Linked DNA regions of Tribolium castaneum. The protein of the gene in region 5 binds, or shares a complex with, the protein of the main gene of each other region. Links are inferred from orthologs where the notes say so. Each region holds a gene or a part of one and is shown on either strand. Other genes may lie near its edges.

Region 1 (3,167 bases), on a different chromosome or scaffold from region 5:
GTATTGTTTGTAAATATTCACAACAATAGTTGCTAATAACACTTTCTGATGTTAGACAACTATTGTTGCTGAATATTTACAAAGAATACGAAAAATAAAATATGAGAATAAATAAAGACAATAAACTTGTAATAAAAATTTATTATCACTAGTCAATATACACGATACGATAACTATAAACTAATGATTGATCCATCAAATTATTTATATTCCCACAATAAAAAAGTTCAAAAAAGCACACACACGAAAAAAACCACAAAACAGTACTAATTTCACATAAAACAAAGCCGAGGGCGAACACCAAACAAACCAAGCACAAAATGGCGATTTACACAATGGCAACTGTCACAGGTCCACTGTTAATTTCTGCCGATATTATAGGTAGCTTCGCTAAAATTGACTATACGTGTGTGCGACATCTGCGATAGCAAGCCGAACTACAGTCGATTTTGAATTTGGCGCCTATACTTGGCTTGGTGCATTTAGGTTTCACCACCCTGGTTCAAGTGGACGATCTCCTACAAACAGCAATTGTTCTGGAAGACAACAGGAACGCAGTTTCGTCTTCTAGTTCGTCTTCAGAGCCACTAGACTTGACGTTGTAAATAAAACGATGATAATAAAGTTTGTTAAATTTTTATTGTTTTTTCTTCACCGGATTTTCTTCAAAAAACAGTATTAATCTCCTGCTAAAAATATAGTGCTTTATTTTTGCAATTATCCATGAGATTATTATGTAAAGTGAGAGGTACTGGATCCAGGCCCACTTCAGTACTTGCCAAAAGCCCGGCTTGTAGTATATCCTGTCTTCTGGAAATTCTATATTTAAGTTTAATACGAAATTTTGAGTTTTTCCAGGAGAAAAACTTTTATAGACGTCTCTCAATGATGTGGATACTGAAAAAATATGTTAGTTATTGCTTTGTAGATTCTTTAACTTATACTGTTTCTCTTTGAAAAGTTTGTGATAATGGTATTTATGTCATAGTTATTTAAATCCCCATTATCCACAATCACAGGATAATTAAATAACGTATTGGTGTTTTTTCTGTGGCAAATTAAGGGGCTAGTTTGGGTCACAACCACATTAGCCACCAATGAATACTTCGATATATAAAATGGTAACAATTCTTGAAAAATAATGGCAGTCTGCATTTCAAGAGGACAAACCTATTGGAAAAAAACAGAAATATAGAAAAAAGAACACATTCGAATTTCTTACTTGTAATTTATAATTAAATGGAATGATTATGCAAAAAGACGTGAGGTGAGTATTAACTGGAAGATTAACTTGGAGAGACAAATCTAATTCTTCTGTTTTACCATCAAAATTTCTGTCAGTTTCACGAACCTAAAAGGCACAATATGTAAATTAATAGTTACAAAACTGAAAAAAAAAACCTTGATGACTGAACAAGTATCTAAAGGCCGCAATACATTATCAAAGTGGGGTAAATTACTACACGTTATAACAGACTTATTGTAATTATTCGTAGTAGCAACAAAAATGTATTCTCCTCGAAATTTTACATCCGGTTGTTCATAAAAAGTGTCTCTTTTTAACCACAAGCCTGAAAATTTGCTATCAGAACTATCTAATTTATTAAAATTAATTTCTTACCCTTGCTTTTGTATGCAAAAATAAATGGTAACACAAGCGATAAGACCCCAAAAATTAGGGCTAGCACCGATGCTTTTGATAGAAGAGTACTTTTATAAGAAATTTTTATATTCTTTGTAAAAACTTCTAAAACTACCATCATTAACATCACAAAAATTACGTCTTGTGGTTTTTGGTCGAATTTTTTATTTGTTTACCTGTCAACTTTGAATACAAACAATTAGGTTGTCATGACGACGACTGTGTGGGTAATTTGAAAATGCTAGGGCAATGACCGAACTGCCAAAAAAGGTAACGGAAACAAAAAAAACGGCCATTATGAGAATATTAAAAAAATCCTGATTTTGTTTAATTTTCTCTGTTTTCTTTAAAACGTGTAATTTCCTTAATTTTGTACATCGATTTCCTCTGCAGTTTATGTTATAAACAAATAAAAGTAACCTTTACGTTCATTTCTTTTTCTCTCAAAACAAAAAGTACGTTTACAATTTGGCGCCTTTACGTTCTTTTACATTTTTGCCGCATTATTTTTTTATTTCTCTCAGTTTTAAGCTCCGCTTTACTTTTATACGCCTATGTGTTCTCTCAATCTCTTATTTTTGTTTACGTGTTGTTTCCTTACCTTTTCTACACTTTTTTTCATAGAAAAATTGTTACACCTGATCCGGGTTCGAACCCCCGACCTCCCCCGTTGTAAGTGGTGCTTATACCACTGGGCCACGAGGCCCCAGGTACTGACCGTGTTTTGCAGATATTTTAACACAAATTTTTTAACTAAACCAACATTACAAACTATATAATTGCAATAATTCACGTAAAACGCAAATATTTTTAGTTCAAAAATCCGCAAATTTGCTCGAGAAAACATTTTCTTCTACTATTTTTTAATTTAATTCTTCAGATTTCATCAAAAGATACCGGGCAAATTGGTGGTTGATGAATGATGACTTGATGAGTAACGATATCTATATATTGGCAATGACATACTTAATTCTTGCGTTATTTGGTTTTTCCAGTTAAATACACTTGAAGAAGAAAAAATGTGTAATACTTGGTTTTCCAAGAAAATTAATTATTCGGTAGATATTAATCGTAAAACTAGGTCACAATTTTTCACCATTTATAAAATACTTTAACAATTTATATTCTTTATTTGGAAATGTATTTAAATAAAAAAAGATGGCAATAATTTAATACTACATGATTAATAAATACTATATCTAGTTTAATTTATTAAAATTATAGTGGAATTAGTTACGACATTTAATTAGCGCAGACTAATACAATTTATCAAAATTTTTATAATTCTTAGAACTTCTAATTAGTTGAATACAACAGTTGCTCTGATGTGACTTAAAACATATTTTTATCGTTAAAAAAAATTAAGATAACCTTTATATACTTAATAATGGTTAAATTGATTCAAATCTGTCTAAGAAACCATAACAAAATAAATGAAATTTGAACTACGAGTATAGTAAAGCAATTGAAAAGGTCAATTTTAATAATTATTATTTATTACAAAACAGTTATTTTAAGCTTTTCG
Region 2 (4,037 bases), about 12 Mb from region 5:
CCCAGTATTTGAATACTGTGTTCTGTACGGCAATGCATACATTTTTCGCCGAGAGATTTTTGATCCAAATATAATCATTAATTTCGCATCTTAGATACATATTATAACCGAACTCAATCGGAGTATATTTGTGTTTACTTAGAACGCACACACCCTCTGAATTTACAAACGGCAAAACGAGGAAATTTTCGGTAAAATCCGAAGGATTTCGGTATAGCTGTAATTGTTGTTTGTAACTTGTTGCATTGCTAGTCGAGTTCGTATTATTTATAGGAACATTTATAGAAACGATATTTGCGATTAAGATTGGCTTGCCAACTAAATATCCCGGATTTCCACTAAGGTGCGATGAATAGTTCAAAGTATGGTTCCACCAAATAAAATTAACTTCAATCGTTTGGGAAAACTCCATTTCCTGGTGGTAATAAAAAGTGGCACTTTTCAGAATCAAGTAAAGTTCGACTTTTATCAAACCGTTGCTACCATTATGATAAAAATTGTATCTAACGTTTTGTACTAAATTAATACAAAACAGTTCGTTGTTTGCAATGTTAACTTTGCAGCTCGATTTTATTCTCGTGTCGTTTGGCGATATTTGGACGCAGTCTTCAAAGTCTTCGTTGCATATTTTTGGCCGAACATTTAGACAAACATCTTTTGTACAATTCTGGAAAGGAATAAGTCTGTTTGGTTTCCATAAAAGTATAGTACCTACCTTGAGAAAATTTTTGTGTTTAGACACATTTAGCAAACCAGGATTTGCAATTATTGTCATGTTTCTGAAAAATGTGTCGGCTTTTAGATAATAATTATCTGCGGATATGTTCGTATGACTACAGCTGCTCTTGACGTCAATTAAATATTTTATATCTTCTTTGACCACGCAACTAGTTACCACAAAACTCTTAAGAAATTCTACGATTGAAAAATGGTTATTTAGATTATTGATTTAAGATTTGGAGACTAACGTAAGTTTTCAATTGTGTTATTTCTTAAAATCAATAAAGGTTTTCCATAAGTATAGTTGAAATAATTGAATATTTGACTATCTTCATGTGTAGGCTTTGGCCAATTAAATTTATTTTGTCTCTCGAATTGAGCATCTTGTAATGACTTCAACGGCTGGAATTAAAGTTGTAAAATTATTTTTATGATTTTTTTAAGACTTTATCTTACTTGCTTTCTTTGGACTATGTAACTTGCTGGTAAATTACTACGCACAATACAAAATAGTCCGTTTTGGTTAATTTGAAACTCATGAGGTGTCTTATTAACGTAAATATGTTTTACGTATTGGCAATATCTAGTATCATATTGACGGAAATCTTCTTCACAATGATCAAACACAAGTTTATTTTCTAAGGAACAGTCTTTGTCGCAACAGCAATTCAGATCACAGTAGTCGATCTAAAATCATGCGTAAAAATATAATTTATTAGGGAACATATAGATACTTACAGTTAAATCACAAATACACAAATTCTTGCTTGATCGTTCCGATGTTTTTATATGAAAATGAAAAAAGCTCGCGGGAGTCGGGGTTGTGACTAAAGCCGTTGTTTGTTGAGTTGGAGGAACAGTTACTGAATTATTAGTTGAATTTGCAAAACAAGAACTGTTGGCTTTGCAAGTAGTTGTTGGAACAGCGGTTGTGGACACAATTGGTGACGTTGTGCCCTTTTTAACATTTGTTTCACTTGACTGGGTTGTGGTCACATTTTCTAAACTTGTGCTTTTTAACAAAACGCACAGTATTAAAACAGTCGGTAAATTGTTAAGTAGTTTACTCATATTCCACTCCATAATTGCTGAAATTTCTGAACAAGGACTCGTCATTATTACTGTTTTGTGCCTTATTATTACCTAAGTACAACACACAGTTCAAATGAAACAACTCCCATAGCCTCCGTAGAGAGTTTATAACGTTCCCCCGAAGAGAAGATCAAGTCTGGATTTTTTATTTGATACCCACCTCCCAGAAAATACTGCACAAAACGATCTTTTATTGTACCAAATGGTCTCCAAGTGTAGCAGTCCAAAATATGGGTCCCGGGAGTTGTAGGAACTGTTATGAAACCGTAACCGAAAATGTGACTCCGGCCTAGCCAATCTAAGTGATAAACTTGCAAATAAATCTTAGGCCAACCTAAAATTCGGACTCATTAAAAAAATAAACGACTTTTTTGAAAAATTATAAACCTTGAAGTCCAGCAGTGGCTAGGTGAATATCTATTGGATAAGACCACTTGCAAACTTTACCAAACTGAGGTGATGTTACTTGAGTTTGACCTTCCTTCTTCCCAGAAATAACTTTCCAGTTATTACCTTAAAATTTTATAATAATAAAAATAAACATGAACTGACTGACAGAGCAGTCGATTTTAGTCTTAAAACGATAGAAATACTTATCGAAAAGGCAAAATAAGCGTCTGTTTGATACAAAAATCAAGAAAAGAAGTCAAGAGAACCTCACCTACTTGGAGATACCATTTACAGAACAAATTCTGCTTTGGAAAATCTTTGGCTTCAGTTATTTGCCCAATTATGTGCACTTCTGCCATAAGGCCAGAATACCATCAAATGATAACTGTTTTCACAACAAACAAAACTGAAATAAAAGAACCACCTGAAGAAAATGCCAAACATAAAAACAATATTTTTGTTTACAATACTGTTTTCCGGTTGCCTAGCAACGATTTTCAAATATTTTAAGGGCGGGGGTCAGTTTTGTGTAGGAATAAAAAATAAGCCTCCCATGACTTGATACAACAAATTGGATTCTTTGCAATTATTGTTGTTATAGACAACAAAATGAGTGATTCATCAGTTGCCAACAAGGCTGTTGGTAGTCTTTTTCCCAAATTTAATTTTCTTTTCGCAAAAACCCGTTTTTTATTTAATGACTTGTGCGCAAAAGCAGTGAGAAATTGCAGTGCGCGTGCGCGCTATCGACAAATCAGGAGGCGTTTCAATTGAGCGAAACGTGAAGATGGCCGTGAAAATTGTCAGTGACGTTTCTTTCACCTTTTGATTTTTGGCAAAATAACAGTTTTTACCACTTTTCTAACTTGTTGTATGAAAAGTAAGTATTGTTTCTTATTGTTTACAACCGGGACGTGCCACTTGACCTTGCTGTTGTCGTTATGTAAATGATAAGGTTATTGGGGAAATGTCGTTTGATTTTGAAATCTTGTTGTTATTTACATAAAAAAAACGTTTCTTCTTGAAGGGTCCTCTGTTTGGGTAATCACATGAATTAGGCAGGGTAAGGTATCTCAAGTGAAACCGAGCGAAAATCTCAAGCCTCCATGTTGTAGATTGTTTATAGACTTCACACTTTCGTTAAAATAATGCCGAGACGTGCTAACAACAGTTCTTCGGAGAATGATCCCCCCAAAAAGAAGACTTGCAGCAACTCCTTTGATTTAAGACATGGGGAGTACCTAAAAGACATCACAGGGAAGCAGTGGAAATTGGGGAAACCTGTGGGTGTTGGGGGCTTTGGGGAGATCTACCTGGCCTCTGATGTCCTCACCAAAGAGGTCAAGACTGATTGTCAGTACGTGGCTAAGGTGGAAAGCCATAAAAACGGGCCGCTTTTTGTCGAAGTCAATTGTTACCTAAGGATTGCTAAACGCGAAATGAGTAAGTCAATAATTTGCGGAAAAATCGCATAATTGGAATCGTTTCTAGTTGAAGAGTGGAAGCGAGCAAAGAATATAAGTTCCCTCGGAATGCCCCACTATGTGGCGTCAGGTTCCCACGTCCACAAGGGTGAAAAGTATCGTTTCTTAATCCTCCCGAAATTTGACAGAGACTTGGAAAAAGTCCTCCAAGAGAAGAAAATCCTAAACCTTAAAACAGTGCTCACAATATCCCTCCAAATAATTGATGTTTTGGAATACATCCATAGTAAAGGCTACATGCACTCCGATATCAAGGCATCTAATATTCTTCTAAGTAACCAAAATAAGCCCAAACCAACCGTCTGTAAACGAGTGTCAAGCGGCTGCACACGAGTATCAAGCGGCTACACT
Region 3 (4,117 bases), on a different chromosome or scaffold from region 5:
GTACGCCTGGCCCCAATCCCGACTTGGGGAAGTACCAACACAATTGCAAAAACTACCAAAAAGAAAAAAGAGTTGCCATGGCCGCCTTATCGATCCGGTCACAAATAGACGAATTGTTTAAAAATTGAAATTATTAGTCACGTGACGAGAGAAATTACAGGAATGGATTTTATCGATGGCACCCCCGAAGGAGCGACGTGTCAATGACTTGCAAAATAGGCGACTGTGTTACAATTTGAGACAGGTTCATGAACGGGGGACGCGTGGCAACAGGGCGGCCGTGCCACGGGGACCTCGCTAAGACTCGAGCGGCACTTGAGCCCCCCAGAGCATCCCAAAAGACAGAGGGGTGAACTGGAAGCCAGTTCCAGGCACACCATGGGGCCAAAGCCCAAACTTGGGGCTAAAACATGGATAAAGACAGCCCGAAGTCGCCCGATGTGACCCGAACCGGTCCGATCGTCCCTCGCCCAGATATATCGATTTTGGTTTATACCTAGTGCGGCGTTGCCACGTTTATTGATTCTCAAAATAAAACAACAATTATAAAAATTTCCGGGCCGCAATCATGTTTTTTCGGGCCCTTTTGAACGCTTGGAGCACTTGCTCCACGCTTTTGACCAAACTTGACGAGTTCAATTTTTCGAAAATTTCCAAATTTTCCTCGGAATTTTCTCTGTATTTGTCCAGAAACGCCTGGCTTTGATGGACGACGTGAACGGTCACGCTGATCAGACCGGTACCAACCGTGTTAGTCCCATATTTATTTAAAACAGACCCCTGGAAAAAAAATTTCCTTAGATAAGCTCGCCATTTTAAGCTGAGCTTAAACTGCAGTGTTGCTCAGCTAAGCCGCGCTGAACTTAACTTTGCGGTTGGTAGTACTGCACGCTTGCGCACTTATGACAGTTCTGATTTTAAAAAGTTAGGTTAAGATTCATTAATGTCACCATTTATCAATATTTCGGTACATTGTAGCAATAATATCGTTATAATAAAAATCTTATGTTTAAAAATGTATCAATAAAATGCGGCATTTATTTATTTCATGTTTAAAAATTTGTCCTACAATAAAAAAAATACTGATAAAATATATTGATGGAATAAGAATAAGTGAATTATTATCATTATACTTTTTTTGCTGTTTTTTTTTTCATCCAATGCAAGCAAGTAACTTTTTGCTTTCTAGTGTTAGTTTATACTATTGAACAAAATTGACCAATTTCAACAAAATTATAATGTTATCTACAATAATAATTTATTAAAAATATTAGCAATAAGCCGAGGTTTAGTTAAACCTAACCTAAATGAGCAACACTCGGTGTCGGCTTAAGCCCGCTTTAAGCCTTAGTAACCTTTCATTTAGTCAACTCACATCGTAATGTTTCGGTAATCCCACCCAAGTCAAGTCACCATAGCTTGAACAATCGCCAATAAAAAACCGGCGTAACTGACCGGAAATCCGGTCGGGGATTAACCGGAAACATTGTAGGTTAAACCGGTAATTCCCCGGCTTGGCAACGGGCAAGGCCTTATAAGTCAGCCCTTCAGTCCTATACCGACTCCAAGTGTCCTTCGAAATAACCTCAAAGTAGATATAAGGGCACTTGGGGATTCCCCTTTTGCCCAAATCCTCGATATTGTACTCTAACGTAACGTCGAAAACGTGCCCGAAATGGGCCAAACCCTCATCGCCAGTCACGTGACACGTTTGCGTCACGCCCTGCAGTTGCGATTGGTCAGTCGGGGACCAATCCGACGGCAAGTCGATGAAATACTGGACGTAGATTGGTCCATACTCGAAATATTGCGCCCACGCGAGTTCCATGAACAAATGAACGGCCAGTTTGTTTTTGGCGGGAAGTTTGAAACTCAAACATTTCAAAAGCTCGGTTTTGTGGCCATTTATCTGCAAATTCTTTAAATAAGATAAATTCGGGGATAATACAACACACACTTTTCGGATTAATTCTTTTTCGCGACGGTGGGCTTCCTCAGGCATTTGGGCCGAAACGTTCTCAAGGAAATAGTGATATTTGCGAATTGTGGCGCCTTCAAGTCGGATTAAATACGGCTGGGATTTGGTAAAGTCGGGGTTAATTGATAATATTTTGTACTTCCGGTCGTATTTAACGACACACAGGACTTGTTCCTGCTTGAGCCAAGTCGAATCGATGTATTCGCTACGAACAAATCGCTTTATAGTCACTCGGACGTTTCGGGGGAATTACCCGAGGTCCGCCATGATGTACATGACCTCAAACTCGTAATTATGACCAATGGGATTTCGCACTGCTGCCACAAGTGACTGGCCGTAGTCGTACCCCTGGCCATTTTCGTCGCAATTTTCGCGGAAATTGTCATTAACTTCCTGTTTGAGGGCAAAATCGTCGTCATTGGTGTACGAAAACAGGTCAAAATGCGCCTCAGTGTGTGATTCCCCGACGTCCGAATGGTACTTTTTCTCCAGATCTGTGATACAGTTTTTTTCGTCCTTGTAGTACTCCCTTTCTGACTTGCTGAAGCATTTCTGTTGCCAGGCGAAGTCTTTCTGCTCCCAACCGTCCGAATCCTCGCCAGTTAAATCCCCCACTTGGCGCAACTTCACTCTTGAACCTTGAACTTTAATTGTGTACGTAGTGTCTTTACTTACCTTATTTTCAAGTTGGTGATGTCATCCGAGCACCTGTAAATTGCCGTGTATTTGACCAAAGTCTCCTCCTGACTCATTTTAAGTGTTTTACACGTGAATCACAACAATGACGTTAGCCGCGCGCCATTTTTCAAACCTGCCAGGCGCGGAATTCCCCCAGTTGGGCCCAAAGTTACCAAAACATAACCGTGTAATGATAATTAACAAAACAAAAGTGATAATAATAATAAGTGATAACATGTAGTAACACGAGTGTTAGTAACGTAAACAGTGATTGTGTGTGTGCGCCAATTGAGGTTATGTGGCCATGGCCAACTCGGAGACGCCGCTCCAAGCCAGCCGCAAAAACGCCTACTACCGCAGCATTTTCGACAAAGTGAGCCCCCCAGTTTAGTAGCAATCACCCAAACTGCGCTTTCAGTACGACCGGGACCATGACGGTTTTATCAACATCGGGGAGCTGAATGACCTGATCGAGAGCCGGGAATATGACCACGACATCCCCGAGCACGTCGTGCGGAAAATCCACCAAATGGCCGATCAGAACCACGACGACCGAATCGATTTCACCGAATTCGTGGACATGATAAACCACCCGGACCTCCAGTACGTTTTCGGGCACTATGTCAACAGGTACATCCAGATGGTGGTGCCCCGCCGACGGGGCGCCAGCGAGGTGGACGGGGCCTACGACGACCAGTACTCCTGCTACCCCCCGGCCGTGGGCATGATCATTATTTCGCTAATCGAGGTCATTTTTTTCTGTGTGGATGAGGCAATCGAGGCGGATTCGACCAAATCGGCCTCGGGCCCCATCAGTTCCGTCTTCATCTACGACCCCTACAAGAGACAGGAGGCTTGGCGGTTCATCACTTACATGTTTGTGCACGTTGGGTAATTAATCAACAATTGACCGACGTTAGCCACCCAATTAATTGCAGAGCCTTCCATTTGTTTGTCAATCTTTTGGTGCAAATTCTACTGGGGACTCCGCTAGAAATGGTGCACCGGTGGTGGCGAGTGCTCCTCATTTATTTCGCGGGGGTCCTCGCCGGGTCGCTTGCTACCTCAATCGCCGACCCCACCGTGAGACTTGCGGGGGCCAGCGGTGGGGTCTACTCCCTCATCACGGCACATATAGCCACCATTATAATGAATTGGAGGGAAATGTCGTTCCCCATCGTCCAGTTATTTATTTTTTTGATCATTATGGCCTCCGACATTGGGACCGCCATTTACAATCGGTATTTCCTCGAAATGGACGAACATATCGGGTACATGGCCCACTTTGCGGGGGCTATTGCCGGGCTCTTGGTGGGGCTCAACGTCCTAAGAAACCTAGAAGTGACAACGGTCGAACGGGTCATTTGGTGGCTCTCTATCGTCACGTATTGTCTCCTGATGGCAATCGCAATCATTTGGAATTTTGCCTGGCCTGAGTATTTTTTGAAAAGTCGGGAACGG
Region 4 (2,642 bases), on a different chromosome or scaffold from region 5:
AACTGATATAATTAAAAAATAGCAGACTATACAAGACAGGAGGTAGAAAATTGATTAAATCAGTAAAAAAACAAAAGGAAGAAGGAAATAAAGGTTAAAAAAGACAAGTGAAAGAGAAAGGTAGATAAAGAATAGAAAAATATACATGCGACGTTGGATACAATAATAATGTTAATAAAAAAAATATTGAAGCATTCTTTTGTTGACTTAATGTCGTTTTAGTTTATTTGAATTGTAATTTTTTTTCTTTTGTTTTGCTGTTTATTAATATAAAAAATAAACTTAGTATCTCGGCCAACTTTTTGAAAAACATAATTATATTTTTGGTGTTCTATAGTTGGTCACCTTATGTAAGCATTACAATCGCATGACATAGGAATTCAAGTTCATGGATAACTCGATTATAAATTAATTTGATCGCTTGATGACAGAAAACCAATTGAAACCGAATATTTATATTAAATTAAATTATAAACCATTCCTTCATTAATCAAGTAAGCTGTGCGTAAAAAAATATTTATTGACCCAAATCGTTACAAAAATTAGTCTTTTCCTCTCCCGAAATCATATCCAAGACTCCTCACACCTTGCATTACGACATTCACCGAAATCCTCACTTCTCCATGACTCAACATCTGAATTACTGAAACCAAAACTAGAACTAGAAATCTTTGCGTGTTGTGACAAACATACAGTGATTTCCGGCAGTAGTTGCCAACATTTTCGGTTGCAACAACTCGGGCTGGTACCCGAAAAACGCCCCCATGTACCCCAACAACGAGCTGGCTTGGGGCTTCCCCAAAGCCACGTCCACCCGGTGCATCCCCGGCCTCAGCGGCATGTGCGCCCGCCCGTACCCCTCCAGCTGCACCCCCCGGTACACACTAACCACAATTTGGGGCCCTGCAACCACAATTGAACGCCTCAAAATGCAAAATTTCGAACTCACATCCGTAAAGATTCGTCGATTTGAAATTAATCTCAATCGGAAGGTTGAACACTACTAAAGCTCCGTTCACGACAACGTTGGAGGTTTGGGACACGCCGGCCTCGAGCCCCCCGATTATTTTCCAGTCCGGGCCTGTCACAAACTCGTACTTGCAGTGCCACGCGGAGCCCGAGGGGGCTAAAATGTCGACAGACTCAATCTGGCCCGTTAAAGACACCAGAAAGGTGCCGTCGGACATCGTGGGGGCTGTTTGTATTGTGGTTGCTATGGTAACTTATGTCATCTATATCATCAAAGAAAATGGAAAATTGGGTTTTGGCAAATGTTTTCTAACTCGAAGCAGTAAATAAATGCTAAATTTTGAAAATATTACTAGGACCAGGATAACAGGAACGCAAAGAGGTCTTTAGAAATTTCGAACCACAAAATTACAGAAACCTGTAAGGTTTGGAGCGCCATCAGGTGGAATTTTTGTAGTATAAAATTTGAATTACTTTTTGCGTTTCTGTGATCCTGGTACCAAGAGAAATTTCAAAATTTGCCAGAATTTTTAACTCGGAATGTTTGAAACACCTGACAACTCCAAATTTTAGCAAAATTTTATACCTCTTAAAGCCGGACACCTCTTCGTGTTCCTGTGATCCTAATACCACTCCTAATACTTTCCAAATTTTACCAAAAATAGTCAAAATTATCAAAAGTATCAGGGACGCAGGGAGGTATTTGAATGTAATAAGTAAGTTTTAAGCGCCATCTGGTGGGATTTTTAATGTAAAATAAAACACAAGTTCTGAAAATGGATATTTACTTACATAACTTCACTATAGATACAGTTCATAACGTAAAATAATTCTAGACAGTAAAAATAAATAATGCGGTACAATTTTTACATGTGGATGCGGTAATGTACAAAATAATGAAGCGTAACTTAGAAGAGAAGTCGAAAGAAGGCAAGGCCTGTGTCGATGTACGTGAAAAACCGTAACTTAAAAATAAGTTTTTTGATAAAGATACATTGACATTTATCGTAAAGTTACATGAAATATTAAATGAGACATGCATTCGAACTTCCAGTCTTATTCCAAGCATCAAATCATGAATCTTTGGCAGTTATTCCTTTATCAATACGATGAATATAATAATAATGTACAAAAAATTGAAACACGAACGAAGCGACGAGTGCCTCAAAGCCACCCATCACCTCACGTCCGGCTTGTAAAAACAGCTGTTTGATTATAAAAACTGTGTACAATCGAAGCTGTTTTGGTAAAAATTATTATCCCTAGAAAAATCTAAATTTAGACAGCTATTTTACCATTACATAAGTTTCACATTAATATGTAAAATATTTTTAATTACGTAAATTTGTTCTAACATTAAACTGACTTATTGTGACATTGTACTTAGCACCACCGAAATGGCAGTATCACTAAACCGACTATCCTGACACGGAACGCATGAGCAAATTTAGTGTGCTTTCAGAATAAGTTTTGTTCCCATTTGGTTGGTATCATGTGCGGGAAAATGTCACTGCAGCCACAATCGACGCACCCGCCTCAAAAACCACAACCACTGACAACAACTCAACACGCCCTCTAGCTGTGACTTCTATCATTAAAATATTTTATTTTGTCACGTTTTTTCAAAAATTATTTTAAGTAAATGTGTTTTTTAACCATGAAGAGTGGTTTGT
Region 5 (4,139 bases):
AATAAATTGAGAAATATTGAAATCTTTTAATGACTACTCACTTATCGTCACATGACAAACGCTGCTCCAAAAGATATAAATGCTTGTTAGGTATTTTGGGACTGGAAGTGACATAAAAGCCTTCATCTTCCAAAAATCTGGGTTCTTCAGTCTCGATTTTATCAGTGATGTCAACAGGTTCTCTAATTAGATGAATTAGGGTTTAGCAAAAATTTAAAGGTAAATAGAGAATGGCAAGACAAATCTATTAAGCAAAATTTATGTAAATCAAAAATGCATAGTTTTCCTGAAAAATTGTTTTGAAATTAAAGTCTCAAATTTTGAGAACCGCTGAACTAGAATTGTAAACATTAGCGTAAATTTTATTATTACTAAGTAAATAAATGCTTTATTGTTTATAATACAACGCAATAATAGAAATTACCAAATAATTACAAAACAGTATAAACAAAATATTAAATATAAACTATAATAAAGAAAAATACAAACATACGATATAATAAGAAAAAAAAAGTTATGAAAAAATACAATATATTAAGAGCCAAGACGCAGCAAGTTAGACAAAGAACAACAAAAAATATCACACTCTGAACAAATTTGGTTATAACACCTACACATGGCAGACACAGGAGATTTTTATTTTTATTTTAAGAAATTTAATTTACCTAGAATATAGGAACAGTCAATCTGATTGTGTATGAGTTTGAATAAAAAAGTTAAAGCAAGTTGTTTTCTTCGCATATCTAGAGATGGCAAGTTAAACATTCGCAAAAGCGTCTCATATGGAAAACCTCTATAAGGGTAATTCCCCTTGGTTTTAAAATATAGATATTTAAGAAACTTTTTTTGTAAATTTTCCAAATGTAATTTATGGCTTTCATAAAAAGGATTCCATATGAGAGCGCAATATTCAAGTTTTGATCTTATTAATGTAAAATAGACAGTTTTCAAAGTTACAATATTATTACATTGCTTACTGTGTCAAATAAAATACCAAGTTCAGCTACCGTATCTGCTCCAAAACTGATTGATCTACTTTACAGTCATACTTAAGTGGATGTTTTTTCTTAGAATAAGTAATTTTGCATTTAGAGATATTTAATTTAAGTTTGTTTAAATTACACCAGTTAACTAATTTTGAAATTTTGGATTGTAAAGTGAGACATTCCTGTAGTGTCTTAATTTCAGAATACAATTTAACATCATCAGTATACAAGAGTGTTTCGCAGTTAAGACTTTCCGGTAGGTCATTTATAAACAATAAAAAAAGAAGTGGTCCCAAGTTAGACCCTTGTGGTACACCAGATGGGACACTACACTTCTTAGACGCGAAGCCATTGTATGACACAAAGAATTGTCGGTTATGTAAATATGACTTTAAAAGTTTTATCAAAGCATCAGAAAAACCAATGTCTCTTCATTTACTGACTAAAATGCCATGATCGCGTTTGTCAAACGCTTTGGATAAATCAAGTACGTCTACTTGACCATGGTTATCAGGAAGTGTATTCTGTAAAGCAACATAAATATGTTGCTGTAGATCTTTCATACAAGAAACCATGTTGCGAAGAAGAAATAAAGTTTTTTACAGAACTAAATATATGTTGGTACACAATCGATTCAAAGATTTTGGAAAAATTGTATAGAACTATTGACACAGCAGCAGAGATAAATTAACTTCTTGGTCCACTACGTTATTCTTCTATTTCAATTTGTGTTTTGTGATTAAATTTTACAAAAAAAAACAAAAAATGTTTTTTGTCAGGACCGGAATTCGAACCTCCCACACATGTTTGCCACAATTTTGAAAAATTCTCAAAATGCCCATGCGCCATAATCTCCATTTGTTTAATAAAAAAATAACTGTCAATAAACCGCCATAAGCCCCACAGTGGCTCTCAACAGATGGGGTAATAAAAATTTCCGAAGAAAATACGGACTTTTTGGATATAAGGGTTTTTAACTCGTCTGACCAGGACAAATTCATATACGAAATATTGCCAAGCCATTCCCTAACACCCTGTATTGTCAGCTACTTACGCCTGAGGAGTGTAAAATAACGCGTCTTCTGATTTCCTTAGAAGCGTTTTTATTTGCTTAGGTAATGAAAAAACTAGTGCGGGTCCGTCGTCGGTCAGATCGTCAGTTGATTGAAAATTGTCTTCACTTTCTTTCTCTTCAGTTTCGTGGCATTTTTCACTAGAAAAAAACTCGAAAATGTGCTTGTTATCTGGAGGTTTTCCCAGTTTAAGACGCTCTCTCATTAATTCAAGCTCGGCGTCGATGTCGTGACTTTCCCTCTTCACTTTTTCTAACCGAATATTTTCTGCAGCTTCCTTGAAAACGTTTGCCTTCTTTGTGGATTTCCCAGCTTTTTCCTTTACATTTTTGAACCTTGCGTTAATTTTTTCTCGGTATGATTTACTAGGAGTTGAAAGTGAGACTGGTTTCGGCTTGGTGAAGACTTCGTCGGATAATTCGGATGTGTCTTGGCTGTCGGAGGTCAAAACTTTGGCCCTTCCCTGGATTGAGGGCGTTTTGATTGTGAACATTTCGAAAACATCTTTCTTTGAAGGATTGGAAAGGGGCGATTGCTCCACTGGAGAAGTTACCTTGTTCCGATTTTTGGATTTTCTAGGTACTGGTTTTATAGGGGAATTCAGTTCGCTGATGTCATCCTAACAAGATTATAATAAATGAATAAATTTTAACAGTATTTTTTAATTTACCTGCGAAATTGACATTGTTGTGACTGCGAGTAACACAAACGATTCTTGTAATCGTTTGTTTGTTTGTATTCTTGGTGTCTTAGTTACTGCATAATATCCACTTGTTGCTTCGATCAATAACGGAATTTGGTTGAAAATTAAACTAGTGCAGTAAAGTAATCAAAGTTGAGTTGTCCATTCGGAATTTTACATTTAATGGTACAACTTGAATACATTTCAGGGTCCTGACAACAACTTTTAGCAATACAGGGTGTTAGGGAATAGCTCAGCAATATTTCGTATGTGAAGTTGTCATGATCAGACGAGTTAAAAACCCTTATTTAATTTTTCCAAAAAGTGCTTACTTTCTTTAGAAATTTTTATTAACCCGCTTGTTTTTTTTTGGTGGTTTATTAGCGGCTAATTTTTTCATTAAACAAAATGGAGATGGTGGCGCATGGGCGTTTTGAAATTTTTTCAAAATTGTGGCTTATACAGGGATGCTCAAAAACTGGCGCACCAACTCAGTAGTACGTTATTGAGAAGCAAGTGCAGATTACGGGAAAAATGTTGAAAAAATTCCTAAAGTCATATTTTAAAAAATCTGGAGCTACAAACTTATTGTGTTAACTTCTTTAGTTTTCGTTATTTTTTTATATTTCTATGTTTTATACCAGGTAATCGTTCCATAACAAAACGATGAATAATTATTTTAAAATTTACTATCAGATTTTAGCAGTTTTTTTAATTTAAAAAAAGTATAATTCATCAAAAAAATCACAATGTGTAGATGTGCCAACACTGGGAATTATTTCCTAGGAAACCGTTTCAAAAATAATTTATTTTTATTGTTGATCAAATTCTATTGCGATCATGACTGTTAGACAACGTTGCCACATATCATTTACCTAAAATTAGTTATTCATCAATAACTTTAATACAAAGATTTTTTTTACTATTTTTACCATTATATGTAACCACTTCTCTACCACACACCATTGAGTTGGTGCGCCAGTTTTTGAGCACGCTGTATGTTTATTTGTGTGGGAGGTTCGAGTCCCGTTCCTGGCAAAAACAATATTTTTTTGTAAAATTTTATAACAAAACACAAATTAAAACGAAGAATAACGTAGTGGACCAAGAAGTTAATTTACCTCTCCTGTTTTGTCAATAATATTACAATTTACGCTAATTTTTATAATTCGAGTTTAGCGGTTCTCAAAATTTGGGACTTTAACTTTAAGACGATTTATTGGGAAAACTATGCATTTTTGATTTACATAAATTTTGCTTAAACGATTTGTCTTGCCATTCTCTATCTACCTATAAATTTTTGCTAAACCATTCCCTAATACGCTGTATAATATACAGTGTGTTTCACATAATTTGTTCCGTCACAAACTCGATTACAAATTTTGAAAAATTTGGTGG
Region 6 (2,550 bases), on a different chromosome or scaffold from region 5:
CAGTGGCTGCGGCGGTAAAAAGCCCCTTTTTGGGAGACTTATGCATAAATCGTTTCAGAGCCCTTCATTTCATTTCGCGCTTCTTCCAGTCTGTGATCGATGACTCCGACAATAATAATAACACGCAGGATTTGTCCATATTTGTGAAAAACGCGTACAAGGAGACTCTGGAGCGGTACCACGGCTGGTTGGGGTCTCAGTTGTTTAATGTACTTTCGTCATTTTTTCAAAAATTGTGGCTTATCCCAACAAGTTGTAGATTTTGTCACGGTTTACCCCAAACCGGCAACAGCTTTTCTACCAACTCGCGCTCGAGAAGCACCACAAGGAGGACCACGTTTTGCGTGATATGAGACAGTTCACGCTCAGGATGTCCTCATGTGTTCAGAAGCTGGTGGATTTCTACCAAGAGCATGATCTCGAGACGAATGATAGGGTCTAGTTGTTGTACTTAGAAATTTTATATTTGTTGATCTTCCAGTTGTAAATAAAACGTTTGGTATAGATTCATTTTTTATTCACTCGGTAGCGTTCTTGTACATCTGCAAGCGTCACATCTGATCTTAATTTCATAATGCGAAAGTAAATTGCTTGTTGCGCTGCCGTAAATTTCAAAGCACAATAGCTTGACACCAACTGAATGCATAACATCACGAACATGATACTTTGCACTATTATTTCTATAACATGCAATTTGAAGTTAGGATTGAATAACAGAAGACCTTGTAGAGGAAACTGGAGCAGTAAGGACAACATCCAAAAGCCCGCCAGTTCAGGAATCTACAATCTTATTTATTTAAATCGTCCGCAAAGTGGCCGTGATATTCAACAAACTGTGCACATGTGTAATATTGGTTGCATCTGCCGACTCAATTATTATCATTAACTTACTTTATCCTCAAGATTTCCCTTGTACCCTAAATAGAGTCTTAACATTTCCAAAAGGAAAACTGTCGAAATGACCGTTATGATAATAAACTTGTACAGTTCGCTAAAGCAGAGATACTGGAATTGGTATTTCGAGTCATTTAGTAGTTTTTCGTAGTTAGTCTTACTGTATTCCTTAAATAAAGCACAAGAATGGCCATCCAAAATGGCGCGAAAATCACGTTGAAATAGAGCGACATCTGCAGCGGCAAATTTGACATAACTTCGTTACCTAAAAAGCCTTAAGGAATCGTAATTAACCAGGCATGTTTTTACCATAAACAACATTATCGATTTTACGCGAAAGGCCTGGAAACACTTTATCAGACACTGACGTCACAGTTTCCTTCCAATCCATAATGAATATTTTGAGCAAACAACAAGGTCAAGATTATTTTTAATGTTCTGATTGTTAACAGATTGTTGGACATTTATGTCCTGAAATTGATAATCTGGTTTTGTTTGTATTAACTTGGGGTTGAGTTGCTTGGAAACCGTAATCAAATCCCCCACATTTGCTGGTATTGACCACTGCAGGTGTTTATTTTTGCATTTTTTTTAACTTTATTCTTTCTGTCCGATTGATGTTATTCTCATAAGTTTTAAGCTAACAAAAAAATGATCACAGATATGTATCGGAGGAAAATCTTCAAACAATAACAAGTGGTTATCCGAAAAGTTATCAGATAAAATGTTATTACGTAAGCAACGAAGGTCGTTCATTATTGTTGAGTACACATACCTAAAACAATGTGATACAAGCTACCAGAAATAATAAATATGGAAATACGAGACTTAAAACAGTGAGTATTTTTAATTTTAGCACCACTTACCTTTCGTATTTATTACCTTTAATCTTTTTTGAATTGTTTCATTTATTAGCTACTAGTTTACAATTTAAACAAAGTTTTATATTATCACAAATAAAAAATAGCATGGTCATTGTTGAGTCACTGGACTGAAAACTTATTGCTAAAATAATTTTAGAGCTGAAGAACTGCTTGTGAAATCAACACACGAAAACATTTTTGACTACATTGATGAAGAAATAGTTTCGTGGGATTTACCCAACCATGGGGATTATCCAGATCTGGTACCAAAAATAACTGACTTGGTTTACAAATTATACACAGAAATATTCCCGGAACAAAACAATCCCAGGAACTTTGCGGCCTTCCAGTGGTAATAATTTATAGGCAATTTGTTGTACTTGTTCTTTCATTGGTGATTTCAAGGATTATTTTTGATAAAATCCACGATTTGGTCGTGCCATGCATTAAAGCGAATTTGTTCCGAGAAGATGAAAATTTCTTCGAACGGTGCTCATTTTTGTGCAAAATTAACGTCTCGGCAAGGGAATTTGGCGCTGATGATAATTATAGTATCCCGTTATGTGCTGCCGTAATTGAAAATATTTTTTTAACTGATGCGTGTAATGTTTTTTTTAGGTTGTGGAATTGTCGGTTATAGACAAATATAAAAGTCCCAACGAGAAAATGAACTGTTTGTGCAGTACGTACGATTTAGTATTTGCGGAAATAAAGACAGCGATGGTTTCAGTAATTTCAGAAAGGTCAGGTAAGTTGCATCTTGATTTATTGTATGTACTAGGTTTTTTTAATT

What was found.
Region 1: Cc2d2a (region 5) and transmembrane protein 231 share a complex: the UniProt entries of both Homo sapiens proteins name them as parts of the tectonic-like complex. The link is inferred for Tribolium castaneum from reciprocal best matches to the Homo sapiens genes CC2D2A and TMEM231.
Region 2: Cc2d2a (region 5) and B9 domain-containing protein 2 share a complex: the UniProt entries of both Homo sapiens proteins name them as parts of the tectonic-like complex. The link is inferred for Tribolium castaneum from reciprocal best matches to the Homo sapiens genes CC2D2A and B9D2.
Region 3: Cc2d2a (region 5) and Mks1 share a complex: the UniProt entries of both Homo sapiens proteins name them as parts of the tectonic-like complex. The link is inferred for Tribolium castaneum from reciprocal best matches to the Homo sapiens genes CC2D2A and MKS1.
Region 4: Cc2d2a (region 5) and B9 domain-containing protein 1 share a complex: the UniProt entries of both Homo sapiens proteins name them as parts of the tectonic-like complex. The link is inferred for Tribolium castaneum from reciprocal best matches to the Homo sapiens genes CC2D2A and B9D1.
Region 6: Cc2d2a (region 5) and transmembrane protein 17 share a complex: the UniProt entries of both Homo sapiens proteins name them as parts of the tectonic-like complex. The link is inferred for Tribolium castaneum from reciprocal best matches to the Homo sapiens genes CC2D2A and TMEM17.

The regions. Positions count from the first base shown.
Region 1 is NC_087398.1:6,906,697-6,909,863, forward strand, and holds transmembrane protein 231, read right to left. Parts: upstream 1,853-3,167; 5' UTR 1,770-1,852; coding exon 1,622-1,769; intron 1,572-1,621; coding exon 1,402-1,571; intron 1,352-1,401; coding exon 1,223-1,351; intron 1,171-1,222; coding exon 945-1,170; intron 898-944; coding exon 638-897; 3' UTR 606-637; downstream 1-605. Other genes in the region: mitochondrial import inner membrane translocase subunit Tim21, read left to right, coding at 501-605. UniProt on the Homo sapiens protein: Transmembrane component of the tectonic-like complex, a complex localized at the transition zone of primary cilia and acting as a barrier that prevents diffusion of transmembrane proteins between the cilia and plasma membranes.
Region 2 is NC_087394.1:33,825,128-33,829,164, reverse strand, and holds the start of B9 domain-containing protein 2, read right to left. Parts: upstream 2,801-4,037; 5' UTR 2,562-2,800; coding exon 2,474-2,561; intron 2,326-2,473; coding exon 2,200-2,325; intron 2,147-2,199; coding exon 1,864-2,146; intron 1,818-1,863; coding exon 1,784-1,817; 3' UTR 1,459-1,783; intron 1,408-1,458; 3' UTR 1,177-1,407; intron 1,123-1,176; 3' UTR 969-1,122; intron 916-968; 3' UTR 716-915; intron 668-715; 3' UTR 1-667. Other genes in the region: serine/threonine-protein kinase VRK1, read left to right, coding at 3,351-3,645, 3,694-4,037. UniProt on the Homo sapiens protein: Component of the tectonic-like complex, a complex localized at the transition zone of primary cilia and acting as a barrier that prevents diffusion of transmembrane proteins between the cilia and plasma membranes.
Region 3 is NC_087401.1:10,813,135-10,817,251, reverse strand, and holds Mks1 (tectonic-like complex member MKS1), read right to left. Parts: upstream 2,794-4,117; 5' UTR 2,731-2,793; coding exon 2,654-2,730; intron 2,610-2,653; coding exon 2,232-2,609; intron 2,184-2,231; coding exon 1,958-2,183; intron 1,910-1,957; coding exon 1,376-1,909; intron 781-1,375; coding exon 544-780; 3' UTR 501-543; downstream 1-500. Other genes in the region: rhomboid-related protein 2, read left to right, coding at 2,961-3,029, 3,075-3,547, 3,595-4,117. UniProt on the Homo sapiens protein: Component of the tectonic-like complex, a complex localized at the transition zone of primary cilia and acting as a barrier that prevents diffusion of transmembrane proteins between the cilia and plasma membranes.
Region 4 is NC_087399.1:9,020,794-9,023,435, forward strand, and holds B9 domain-containing protein 1, read right to left. Parts: upstream 1,344-2,642; 5' UTR 1,188-1,343; coding exon 950-1,187; intron 904-949; coding exon 694-903; intron 644-693; coding exon 543-643; 3' UTR 501-542; downstream 1-500. UniProt on the Homo sapiens protein: Component of the tectonic-like complex, a complex localized at the transition zone of primary cilia and acting as a barrier that prevents diffusion of transmembrane proteins between the cilia and plasma membranes.
Region 5 is NC_087394.1:21,750,270-21,754,408, forward strand, and holds the start of Cc2d2a (coiled-coil and C2 domain-containing protein 2A), read right to left. Parts: upstream 2,801-4,139; 5' UTR 2,745-2,800; coding exon 2,730-2,744; intron 2,679-2,729; coding exon 2,041-2,678; intron 183-2,040; coding exon 42-182; intron 1-41. UniProt on the Homo sapiens protein: Component of the tectonic-like complex, a complex localized at the transition zone of primary cilia and acting as a barrier that prevents diffusion of transmembrane proteins between the cilia and plasma membranes.
Region 6 is NC_087395.1:14,182,041-14,184,590, reverse strand, and holds transmembrane protein 17, read right to left. Parts: upstream 1,338-2,550; 5' UTR 1,286-1,337; coding exon 1,204-1,285; intron 1,160-1,203; coding exon 1,056-1,159; intron 1,006-1,055; coding exon 892-1,005; intron 781-891; coding exon 508-780; 3' UTR 501-507; downstream 1-500. Other genes in the region: glycolipid transfer protein, read left to right, coding at 1-14, 59-209, 260-442; ankyrin repeat domain-containing protein 27, read left to right, coding at 1,708-1,730, 1,915-2,109, 2,163-2,328, 2,376-2,505. UniProt on the Homo sapiens protein: Transmembrane component of the tectonic-like complex, a complex localized at the transition zone of primary cilia and acting as a barrier that prevents diffusion of transmembrane proteins between the cilia and plasma membranes.